Elephas maximus indicus: one gene and its partners. The protein of the gene in region 1 purifies or fractionates together with the protein of each later gene. This does not show direct contact. Links are inferred from orthologs where the notes say so. Each region holds a gene or a part of one and is shown on either strand. Other genes may lie near its edges. The genes, in order: HDAC6, DNAJA1 and PKM.

Evidence for each region.
Region 2: the proteins of HDAC6 (region 1) and DNAJA1 purify together in Homo sapiens (affinity purification with mass spectrometry; 4 studies listed by BioGRID and IntAct, with this or other methods). This does not show direct contact. The link is inferred for Elephas maximus indicus from reciprocal best matches to the Homo sapiens genes HDAC6 and DNAJA1.
Region 3: the proteins of HDAC6 (region 1) and PKM purify together in Homo sapiens (affinity purification with mass spectrometry, with the first as the bait; 4 studies listed by BioGRID). This does not show direct contact. The link is inferred for Elephas maximus indicus from reciprocal best matches to the Homo sapiens genes HDAC6 and PKM.

Annotation. Positions count from the first base shown.
Region 1 is NC_064846.1:122,835,585-122,839,330, reverse strand, and holds the start of HDAC6 (histone deacetylase 6), read left to right. Parts: upstream 1-1,446; 5' UTR 1,447-1,556; intron 1,557-1,820; exon of another isoform or gene 1,821-1,915; intron 1,916-1,990; exon of another isoform or gene 1,991-2,093; intron 2,094-2,145; exon of another isoform or gene 2,146-2,210; intron 2,211-2,262; exon of another isoform or gene 2,263-2,406; intron 2,407-2,744; 5' UTR 2,745-2,774; coding exon 2,775-2,867; intron 2,868-2,945; coding exon 2,946-3,074; intron 3,075-3,208; coding exon 3,209-3,297; intron 3,298-3,746.
Region 2 is NC_064827.1:42,217,647-42,221,392, forward strand, and holds the start of DNAJA1 (dnaJ homolog subfamily A member 1), read left to right. Parts: upstream 1-1,229; 5' UTR 1,230-1,400; intron 1,401-2,507; 5' UTR 2,508-2,517; coding exon 2,518-2,649; intron 2,650-3,005; coding exon 3,006-3,183; intron 3,184-3,746.
Region 3 is NC_064831.1:62,521,989-62,525,734, reverse strand, and holds the start of PKM (pyruvate kinase PKM), read left to right. Parts: upstream 1-1,015; 5' UTR 1,016-1,108; coding exon 1,109-1,188; intron 1,189-3,746. UniProt on the Homo sapiens protein: Catalyzes the final rate-limiting step of glycolysis by mediating the transfer of a phosphoryl group from phosphoenolpyruvate (PEP) to ADP, generating ATP.

The DNA of each region.
Region 1 (3,746 bases):
GAAAAGGAATACCTCTCTTCAGGCCACAGGGAACCCCTGCCCTCATCCTATAGAAGAATCCCAGCCAGGTAAGGAAAACCAAGGACTGATACTCTAAGCAGGGATTGGCAAACTATAGATTGCAGGCAAGGCCAGCTTGTAGCCTGTTTTTACCCTTTCAAAGGGTTGTTAAAAAAAATAAAAATATGCCATAGAGACCTTATGTGGTCTTCAAAAGCCTAAAATCTGGCCTTTACTAGAGTTTGCCAACCTCTGCTCTATAGGAACCTCTCTCCTGACTACAAAAAATTGGGCCTTGACCCATTCCAGACTCCCTACACTTTTATTTTGCAAGCATAACAACCCCAGAATGTTTCCCAGTGTGTATCATTGTATGTGTATTTTCTTTGAGGTTTAAAGGTCTTAAGTCTATGACTCTCTTCCACTGGTACAAAAGGCATGTTCAGATGGAAAAGAATGAAAGGCATGAAGAGGCTGGAAGTGGGGGGGGGGTCTTCAAGAGGGTCAGAAGGCCCACCTACTGGGCGGTGGGGCTGTCAATCTATTTGTTAGTCAGCGCTGCTGAACCCCAGACCGCTTATCTCTCTGGCCCCAGCCTGCAGCCCGGTAGGAAATGGTGGAGAATGAGAGGGAGATTAGGAGGACAAACCGACCTCCTGCAGAGCTGATATTTAGACAGGGGTGGGAGGGAGAGCGGGCCATAGGAACAACTCCCCCTACTCTCTAGGCACACAGGCTTTGTATTACAGCTTGAGTGCAGTTTACCCGGTGGAGGGAGGCAGATAGGGAGACCAGCCAACCATGAAAAACTCCGACTCCATTCTAGCCTCGGGCAATATTATTATCACAATTTTCCATATGAGGAAACTGAAGCACAGAGATGTTCAGTAACTTGCCCAAGGTCACATGGCCAAGTCATGTAACCTCAGTTTCCTTATCTGCAAAGCAGCATTAATAATGGGAAGTACCTCATAGAGTTGTGGCTAACAATGCCTGGTGTACAGTACTTGCTAGCGTTACAATTGGAAACCCGGTGGTGCAGTGGTTAAACAACTTGGCTGCTAACCAAAAGGTGGGTAGTTTGAATCGAACTCGGAGACCCTATAGGGCAGTTCTATTGTCGTATAGGGTCGCTAAGTCTGAATCGACTAGACAGCAACGCGTTTGGTTTTTTGCTTTTAGCCTTACAATTACTTGTCCCACTACGCCTCCCCCTGCGCCACCACCCATTTTCCCAGAATTTTAATAGCTTTTTTAACATTTGGTGTGTGCTTAATGTGTGCGACCTTAGTGAATATCAACTCATAGAATCCCCACAGTATTTATGATCATCATCATTCGCACTTTGGCCGCTACCAAACCGTCCTTCAGTTTCAACCCCACTCTGGGCCCCACTTCGGGCCCAGCAGCCAGCCCGCCCAAGCTACGTCATCACGGAGCGCCGCGCCGGAAGCAGCGGGAAAGTGGGAAAACGCCGTTGCCTAACTCCCTCCCTTCCCTGCGCTCTCTTGAATCTTTGCAAGGCACAATCGTCGCGGATCCAGAGGGTTCCTGAGGTGACTGGGCAGGGGCAGAGGGTTGGTGGCCAAGGCAGGCAAGCAGTAGCCGGGGGACGGGACAGCCTTAGCCTTGTATTGAACCGCTAGTGCTACTTCACGCAGGCGCAGCATAGACAGTTTCTCCTGCCTCCGCGCCGGTTTTGTGAGCTTGCGGAAGGTGTGGCCAGCGCGATGGGCGTGGTCTTGGGGGGCACTGAGGAAGCTGGTGTGGGCGGGATCTCAGCAGGCAGAGAGAACCGCCCCAATGGAAAGGAGGAGCCTGGGAACCCGCCGTCCCACAAGTCGCCAGAATTTGCTAGCGAGAGCAATGGGCGGGGTTTGAGAGGGGGCCGCGCCCAGTGAGTGGAACCGAAGCGGTTGGTCTGCGTCAATGTGGGGAGCGAGAAGGGGGCGGAAGCTAGCGGGAGGCGGCTCAGGACTGGCTAGAGGGGGTTGGTGTGGCGTTAAGTGTAGGGCCTAGGGCAGGGGATAGGGTCTGGAGGAAGGAAAGTAGTCCTCTCAGGGGCGGGACTTATTGAAACGTTAGGGGCGAGGGTAGGTGAATCGTTAAGCTTGGGATGGGGCAGTGGCTGGGTTTGGCTGAGTGAAAGCGTGGGCGATTTTCCCTGGAGATCGCCGTAAAAGGAAGATTTGTGAAGGGGTGGGGTCTGGGTGAGGCTTGTTGTTAGGTACTGTCGAGCCGATTCCGAATCATAGCGATCCTGTAGGGCAGGATAGAACTGCCCCATAGTGCTTCAAAGGAGCGGCTGGTGGATTGAAACTGCTGACCTTTTGGTTAGCAGCCGAGCTCTTAACCGCTACACCATCAGAGTTCCACAACCAGGACGAGGCTTAGAAGAATGAAAGGGTCTGGGAATGGGGGGCTAGGTAGAGTGGAAGGGCGGGGATTAGCTGGGAAGGGCAGGCCCTAGAAAGGACTGAGTCGGGAATTAATGGCTCAGTGAAAGGGCAAGTATTTGAAAGAGGAAAAGAGAATTGTGTAAAAGGGGTAGAATTTAGTGGAAAGGTGAAAGGGACACCCCAGTGGAGGGAGAGGGTCTTGGGAGAAGTGGAGTTTTAGAAGGCAGTGGGGAATAGGCTAGCATAAGGGATGGAGAATAGTATAGGAGGCGGGCCGGCAAGGGGAAGGATATTGGGTCCTCTGGGCACACCGTCCCTTACAGACAGTCACGTCTACTCCCCCAGGACCGTGTCAGGGGCTCAGTCTCTCCTACCATGACCTCCACCGGCCAAGATTCCACCACAAACAGACAGCGAAGGAGTAGACACAACCCCCACTCACCCTCCCATAACTCCAGCGTCATCTCGGTGAGGCCCCAGACCGGCCCCGGGGAGGGAGAGCCGTGGATTGTCCCCTGGACTCTGACCCTTCTTTCTGCTTGACAGAAGCGTGGTGTTAAAAAGGGTGCTGTACCCCGCTCCAGCCCTAGTCTAGCAGAGGTAAAGAAGAAAGGCAGAATGAAGAAGCTCAGCCAAGCAGCAGAGCAAGACCTAATCATGGGGCTGCAAGAGCTGGTGAGAGGGGCCTGGCCTGGATTTAGCCTCCAATGGCAACCCAAGACCCTGAGGTTTCCCATCCTGGACAGTATGGAATGTTCCCTCTGACTCAGGCTCTAATTGGATCTGTGTCTCCCATTTTTTCCCTGCAGGATCTGAACCTGGAGCCCAAGGCACTGTCTGGCACAGGCTTGGTGTTCGAAGAGCAGCTAAATGAATTCCACTGCCTCTGGGATGACAGGTGAGGCTGAGTCCTCTAAGCAGTCCCCAAAAACACATTAGCAAGAAGGAATTCTTTCTTAGGGCAGCCTGGAAACTGGAAGCAGATGATTTGGGGAGGTGGGGCTTAGAGTTAAAAGGGTTCCTTTTAGCACCTACTGTGTGCCAGGAGGAATCCTTGGGTGATGTAAACAGTTGTGTGCCAGGAGGAATCCTTGGGTGATGTAAACAGTTAAGTTCAGCTGTTAACTACAGGTTGGAGGTTTGAGTCTACCCAGAGGTGCCCTGGAAGAAAGGCCTGGTGATCTACTTCAAAAAATCAGCCATTGAAAACCCTATGAAGCATAGTTCTGCTTTGACACACATGAAATTGCCATGAATTGGAATTGACTCAATGGCAACTGGTAACTGGTAGTAGTATGCTAGGAGTTGGTGATACAAATGTGGACAAGATAGACAAGGTCCTCTCTC
Region 2 (3,746 bases), on another chromosome or scaffold:
AATATAGACCCCTCCTCCCCTGCTGACCTGCCTCTTGCTGTTATAGTTCAATGACTTCTCCGGCTCCCTCACTAAAGACTAAGTGTCGTGGACCAGGCTTTTCCACCTTTCCATTTTCAGCTTCTCCGGTGCTAGATATTCACCATATGTTTGTTTATGTAACTGAATAACCCAGGCCCCTATTTTCCATTATGCCCTCGTCCCAAAATTTGAAAGCGCATGAGCTCACTTTATAGACTGTAGATCCAGGTTCACATACTAACAGAACCTGAAATTCAGATAAAGTCATTAGAACAACTTTTTACATTTAGCCACTCTCGATGGTACTGCGTCCCCAGCTAGCCAAACCAGGTGAAAGCCTGGCCAGAGAAGGGCTCAAGGCTCTCAGCTTGCGCCAAGACATCCTAAACGTTTCCCTATTTATTTGCACAATCCCCTGAGCTCCATGTGTAGGAAACAGCATGGCCCAAGGCTGGGACCTGGACTTGCACAAAGAGCTCTTTCAACCTCCCATTTGGTGAATTACAAGATCCTGTATGGAAACCCTGGTGGAGTAGTGGTTAAGTGCTACAGCTACTAAGAGGTTAGCAGTTCAAATCTGCCAGGCGCTCCTTGGGAACTGTATCGGTTAGTTCTACTCTGTCCTATAGGGTTGCTATGAGTTGGAATTGACTCAACAGCAGTGGGCTTGGGTTTTTTTTTTTTTGTATTCTGCGTGAAATACAGCAAGACCCAAGGCCTCTGACACTGGTCTGAAGGCCAGGCCCGCCTTGCTCAGCATTTCTTGCTCGGCATGTTCCCATAACCTCAGGGCTGAGGAACTAAACCGCTTGAAGACGCCGAAAGACGCAAATGAGGCGAATGCAGAGAGGAGGGGCTGCAGGGCTTTGTTCTGAAAGGTTTCCGTTCAGCAGACCGCATTCGCCAGGGGCCCTGCTCCAAGCTCTCCCTAACCCTACGAGCGGCGGCGTCCACTTCACCCATTTGAATTCTCCGAGTTGCCTCGGAATTGCAGAGCAAACTGAATAATCCCTGCTTCCGCCCGAGACTTCCGCATCCCGGGCCCGCCGGGTAAAGGAAAGGGGCTCCAGAAGGTTCCATGAGCTTCAAGAACCCAGGCTTACGCCCACCCCCCCACAAGGCCTTTCGGCACAGCGCCTCCCACCCCGAGCGCCCCCGCGCCGTTGCCCAGGTAACTGCGGGGAGGTGGCAGCGGCCAAGAGGGGCGGGACTTCCGGCGAGTGACGCGCCGCGGCTCGGCTACAAAAGACGACGGCTGCGGCGCTCCGAGGGGAACTTTCCAGAACGCTCGGTGAGAGGTGGAGGGGTGGCGACTCCCGAACTGCGTACAGCTACGCGCTCCGTCCCGCTCCCCCACACCAGCCTCGGTCCGCTCAACTGTGAGTTTCAGTCCTCGCGCTTCCCCTTGTCTCCGCCTGGCGCCATTGGTGGCGCCGGGATTCCGGATGGAGTCGCGGGCGGGAGGCGGTTGGCTCCGCGTGGGCGAGAGGGTTGTCGGTACCCATATCCACGATTCTCAGTCTGGAGGGCTGGTGTGTGACTCGGCAATGAATCTCCGGCTCGCAGTGAATGGGCCCGAGACCTTGAACTCTCCCACTCCTCATCCAGTCTGTGGACCCAGAGGAGGCGCCGCCTTCCTGCCCCTCTGTCCGCGCCCCCGACCCCCCCGTACCGTACTTTCTCGGGGTGGGCGGCCTCGCGCGCACGCGCAGAGGGAGGCAGGGAGTCGAGGGGCTGCGGGAGGAGCCTGCGGCTTTCGTTTCTTTCTCCCCACCCTCTCTTTGTTGAGGGCTGGGCTTCGCTCTCCACCCCTTCGATCCGTGGTGGGCGGGAGAAAGGAAGGAAACCTTAACGGTCGGCGCCAAATGCAGGGGAGAACCTGACGAGATGTAAAGTACCCTGCCTTATGGGGAGAGGGGGTTGGACGGTTAAAGCGGAGGAGTGTAAACCCTGTGATTGAGAAACATCTCTAAGGACTTGGGGGAGGGGAGCTGTTTCTCTGGATCTGGTGTTTCTGATTATTTCTGTAAACCAATTCCCCCTATCCCCAATTGTGCCCAAACGTCTTTTTTCTGGGGAGTATATGGCGTTATTAGACTTACCAAAGACGGTAAAACGTGAGAATCCACGGACCGAACCTACTATGCTTCTTTTTATTGTGGCTGGCTGTCACCACCTTTGGGAGGGGGAAACAAGCAACCCAGGTAATAATGTGTTAGTTCGGATACTTTAGTGTGGGAGAGTGGAAGCCAACTGCTACAAGGAGCCCTTGAGTTATTCGTTGGTAATTACTGTTTTATGTTTAGTCTACTAGAATTTGTGGCTGAGTTATCCCAGAAATTGTTACTTTTACGGTGAAGTTTAGATAGTGAGGTGGTATTCCTCTAATCAGATTTGGCGAAGGACTCAACTTTTGTCTTAACTCTGACTTTACTAATTAAAACTACAATTTGAAAGTCGGTTAAAATGGCATTTTCTTATTTCAGGCTGTAGAAAATGGTGAAAGAAACCACTTACTATGATGTTTTGGGGGTCAAGCCCAATGCCACCCAGGAAGAGTTGAAAAAAGCTTATAGGAAACTGGCCTTGAAGTACCACCCTGATAAAAATCCAAATGAAGGCGAGAAGGCAAGTAGTACGTCCTTAAAAGTATCTGAATAGTTCTTTCCCAGGTGTCTAGTTTTTATAGTACCACGTGAAATTGAGTGTATCTGACATAATGGCAAAAGGAGCCCTGGCATGATATGGTTAAGCGCTGTGGTGCTAACCAAAAGGTCAACAGTTCAAACCCAACACCCACCAGAGGCTGCATGGGAGAAGAGATCTGGCAATCTGCTACCATAAAGAAAGATTACAGCTTAGGAAACTATGGAGCAGGTTGCTATGAATTGGAATCAACTTGACAGCATAACAACATAATGGCTGTGCTTTGTAAGTTTTGTTTTAAAAAATGAAATTTATTCTTTTTTTTTTTTCTCAAACAGTTCAAACAAATTTCTCAAGCTTATGAAGTGCTTTCTGATACAAAGAAAAGAGAATTGTATGACAAAGGAGGAGAGCAGGCCATCAAAGAGGGTGGAGCAGGTGGTGGTTTTGGCTCCCCCATGGACATCTTTGATATGTTTTTTGGAGGTGGTGGAAGGATGCAGAGAGAAAGGAGAGGTAAGACAACCTAGTCCACATGCAGCAAATTAAAGTAGCCATTGGTCAAAACAGATTGTTGAGCAACCATAAGTTTTAAATGCATGTTTATGTTGGTATAATGTTGGGTACTTAATTTATGGTGTAGTTTAGATTGAGGTTTGATGTAACAATATGCTAAAAAAAAAAAATTTGCTAAACCAATTAAGCGGTAACAGATTATTCGTAAAGGTCTTGCATGTACTATGATTAATCAAACACTAAAGAAACAAAATAACAGCAACATAATTTTCAAAGTGTTTTTTATAGATACCAGGCTCATAGCGACCCAGTGTTAAATACAGTAAGTAGCCTCTTCAGTCAAAGGTGATCTGAAGTAAATTTTATGAGGGTCATACAGCCAGTCCACTGTAGAGCCAGAATCAGAACACAGGTTCATTGTCTTCACATAGCTTGTTAGCTGTAATCTTGATTCAGCTTTATTTTATCAAAATACATGAATTTTTATTTAGCAGAAACGTAGTCTGCAGGCTGTAGAAATATTGTTCAGTACAGTGTTCTGGTCAAGAGAAGACAGTCTCACC
Region 3 (3,746 bases), on another chromosome or scaffold:
CCGCGTCGGGCCCGCCCGCCCCTCAGGGCATCCATGTGGGGATGGCGCAGGGTCCTGGGCATCTGGGACCCGGCTGGGTCAGGGAGAGGAGAAAGGCTGCTCGCCCCGAGGGCCGGCTCCTCAACGCCCCCAGCTTCCGTTCCTTCCAAATTCGGATGGCAGAGCCAGCCCCTAGCGTCCCCCATGCCGGCCCCATCCTCCGCTCCATCTCCCTTCCTGCTCAATCTGGTTCCATCCTCTCCTCCCGTGCCTTGCTCCCTCCCAGTCTGATCGCATCTTCACTTCCCTCCTCCTCCGCCCCGGTCTGGTCCTATGCTGGCCTCCTTCCCTTTAACACTAGTCCCAATCGCCCCCTCGTTTCCAACTTGTCCTTTTCACCTTCCTTCTGATGCTTTCGTTGTGACTTCTCCTTGAAACTCTGTCTCTGCTTCGCATCCCCGCACCCTCCTCCCTTCCAGTTCCATCTGCTCTCCTCGCGCCCCGTCCCCTGTTCACCTACCACTTCCCCCTTTCGCCCCCGTGCCGCCCCTCCCCCTCCACCCCGGTCACGTCCGCACCCCTGCATCCTTCTCCCGCCCTCTCTGCCGCCCCGGCCCCTCCCCCTGCCTCTGGTCGGATCCGCCCGCCTCTCCTGGGTCCTTCTCGGTCCTGCCCTTTTCTCCATCCCGGCCTCCCAGGCCCACCAGCAGCTTCCGGCCCTGGTGGAGCCCTTGGCCCCGGTCCGTGGCGGGAGGTCGGGCAGTGAGTCACCACCCCAAGTTCGTGGTGTGCGAATAGATAGGGCTGTCATCTATGCGCCCAGGGGGATGCTACAGCGGCCCCGGGCGCAGCTACGGGGTTACATAACCCTTGGCCTTCCCGGCAGCGGGGGAGAAGGGCTGACTTCGCCTGTGGCGAGTTCCTGTTTTGTCGGCTATTCCCGCGCTGGCCGCGGACCATGCGGAGACCCTGCAGGGTGGCAGCGCGACACTACGCCTCTTCGAAGAAGTCACGCGACTCCATCCCTCCGCGGCCAGGCTGCAAGTAGCGGCCCCGCTCCCGGGCCCTACCCCGCTGGACGGCTAGCGTTTCCTGGCGGAGCCTGACCTCCAGCCGGAGAAGCTGCCAGATGGCTTCGGCGTGGTCTCCTTGCGTTGGCGGCACGGGATTTCTTGCCTCTGCTTCACGTTTCTTAACAAATGTGCCCAGGTTGTAGAACGCGGAGGTCCCGGGTGGGTCCGGGAGCAGGTTACGAGGTAGGGGAGGGAAACCTTCCTTAGAGCTTGACGCCCTTCGTGATGGTCGCACAATAAAAACTCTAGTGCCAAGGGCTGCTTTGGGGAGGGGTTTGGTGTGCAAGGAGATGTGCAAGGAGGAGGGAGCTGAGCCCGCTGAGCTGCCGATCTGTTTATAGAATGAAAGTAACTTATGACTGGTAAGTGCTGTGAGGAAGGCACCAGCTTCCTGCTGTGGGCGTGGAGACTGGGGGTGGGCAGGAGGCCTCACAAGGTGGCATTCACACTGGGTTTGAAGGAGCAGGGAAAGCACCTTCTAGTCTGAAGGTTAAAGACTCAGTCGTGGAGCGGCATCTCTTGCCTTCTTATCCATATTGTCCAAACTCAGGAGGTTGATCTCCTTCAGTATGGGTAAAATGAACCTAAGAGTTCAGGTACAGGCATGATGGGCAGATACTTGACTCATTAATATACTGAGATGGCCAAAGGACCAGTTTTCCACGCATAAACTGGAGGTAATATTTTCCTCATGATTGTCGAATGGATTGGTCTCTACACACACCTTCATGTTTATATATTGAATACTTGGTGCAGTGTCTAGGACGTAGTAGGTGCCCCACAAGTTGCATTTGCCAGAATCTAATCTCTGGTGAGATGTCCAGAAGAAATGTCTTCAAATGCTTGTACTCTTTTGGTCACTGAGCACAATTACTACCTAATTGATGCTTGAGCATAAGTGTTGAACTTCTTGATTCACCATATCCCAGTCATCCCCAAACACATACAGTTAGGCTCTAAATACAGTGAAACCTTTGCGAGCCAGAATCGACTTGGCTGCCTTGTTTTCCCGGGTCTCTAAAGTTTTCCACCTTTGAAAGGGTGTTTTTCCATCGCTATTAGTGGAAAATATTTGAGTTTTCCTTCAGTGACAGGTTTCTGCTTTAAGCAGGTTCCAACCTTTGTAGGTTTTACTGCAGCAGACATCACTTGGAAACCAGTCCCCTGAGGGATGCTGGGATAGTGCTTACAAAGTAACTAATAATGTTACTTTGCAAATCTTCACTTGCAACTGGGACTCTTTGGTCTTCTGAGAATGGCAACCTCTAGACAAAGGAAGGCTAGGAGGGGGATGATTTCAGCCTTTGGTGGTTGGCTGTAAGAATAGAAACAAACTTGCAACACCAAGACTGAAATCATTAGATCCCAGCTCTCCTTACCTGCCAGCCCCTGCAGGTAGGGTTCTAGGATTTGCTAGATAGGCTGACAAGTGTGAGGGTAGGAGTGGAGGCTGGGGGCATACATAGCCTGTTGGCCATACTGAGGGTGTGATCAGAGGAGGGCCTAGGTTGGGACCCCCCCACCCCCACCCCTGCTGCACCATTGTTAGCAAATAATTTGCCCTCCGGTTGCCTGAGGATGCTGATGGGTATGCACTGGGGCTGTTCTGAGGAGGAAGGGTATGTAACCCATTACCAGGTCTGTGTGTTGGTGGAGGCACAGTAGGGAAGATGACTCAACCTCTCAACTTCTCAGCTTTCGAGAGAATTCTCCTCATTGGGTGAGTGGGGAAACTGCATTGCGGTCTTTGCAGGTTTAAAAAGTCCCCTTTCAAAGAGTCAGATAATGAAGCATGTGTTTCCCCCGCATAAAATGTCTCACTAAGTGAAAAATGATTGGTCCAGGGCCCTGGGCCCCCTCCGTACTACCCAAAGAGCTTAAGTGCAGAGTGGCAGTCTGCACCTGCATTGCTGAGCATGGCACTCTCTCAGTGGGTTGCCCTCTGAAGGACAAGGAATTTAGTAACAGGAACTTAAAGGAAGAATGTCCTTGAACTCATTTCCAAGTATATGGATGTTAGTTGGTTCCTTTCTAGAACAGTTGCTTTTAGTTTAATCATTTGTTAGAAATGAATGATTTTAGCTGTCCGGTTCCTAGTTTACCAAGGACCATTAATGGGCTTTTAAGAACTGCAACCCCAGTAATTTGGCAGCTGTGACTCGAAACAGCTTAGTACCTTATGGAAGTTGCTTCTGTATTTGAATGTTGTAACACTAACGTGGGGTCACAGGAAAAGCCATTTTATTTCTTAAGGCTGTTTATTTCTTAATGTTGAGGCAATGAAAGGAATGAGGAAGCGGCTTTGAGCAGGAAGGTAGAAAAAAATGCAGCCCTTGTATTACAGACATATTACTTGGGTTTGAATTTATTTTGCTTCAGCTTTTATGAAGGCAAGTCCAGCAGTGTTACCTTGGCCAAGAGCTAAGACTGAGATCAAGGTAGAGGAAAATGATTCCTTTGACATTATCTTTATTTCTGAATCACTCCAAATGTCCACGGTCAAATCCCATTTAATTGGTACACCACAAGCATGTGTCAGCCCTGTGAGCAGAGTTTTATTGCAATCTTGTTGAGGATCTTTGTGAAATGCGTAAGTGATTTATTTGATAAAAGGTCTCATTGAACCTTGAGTTGTCACTTTAATCATCCAGATGGGAACAGAGCTATGTATGAAGACCATTTTTAATGCCACTA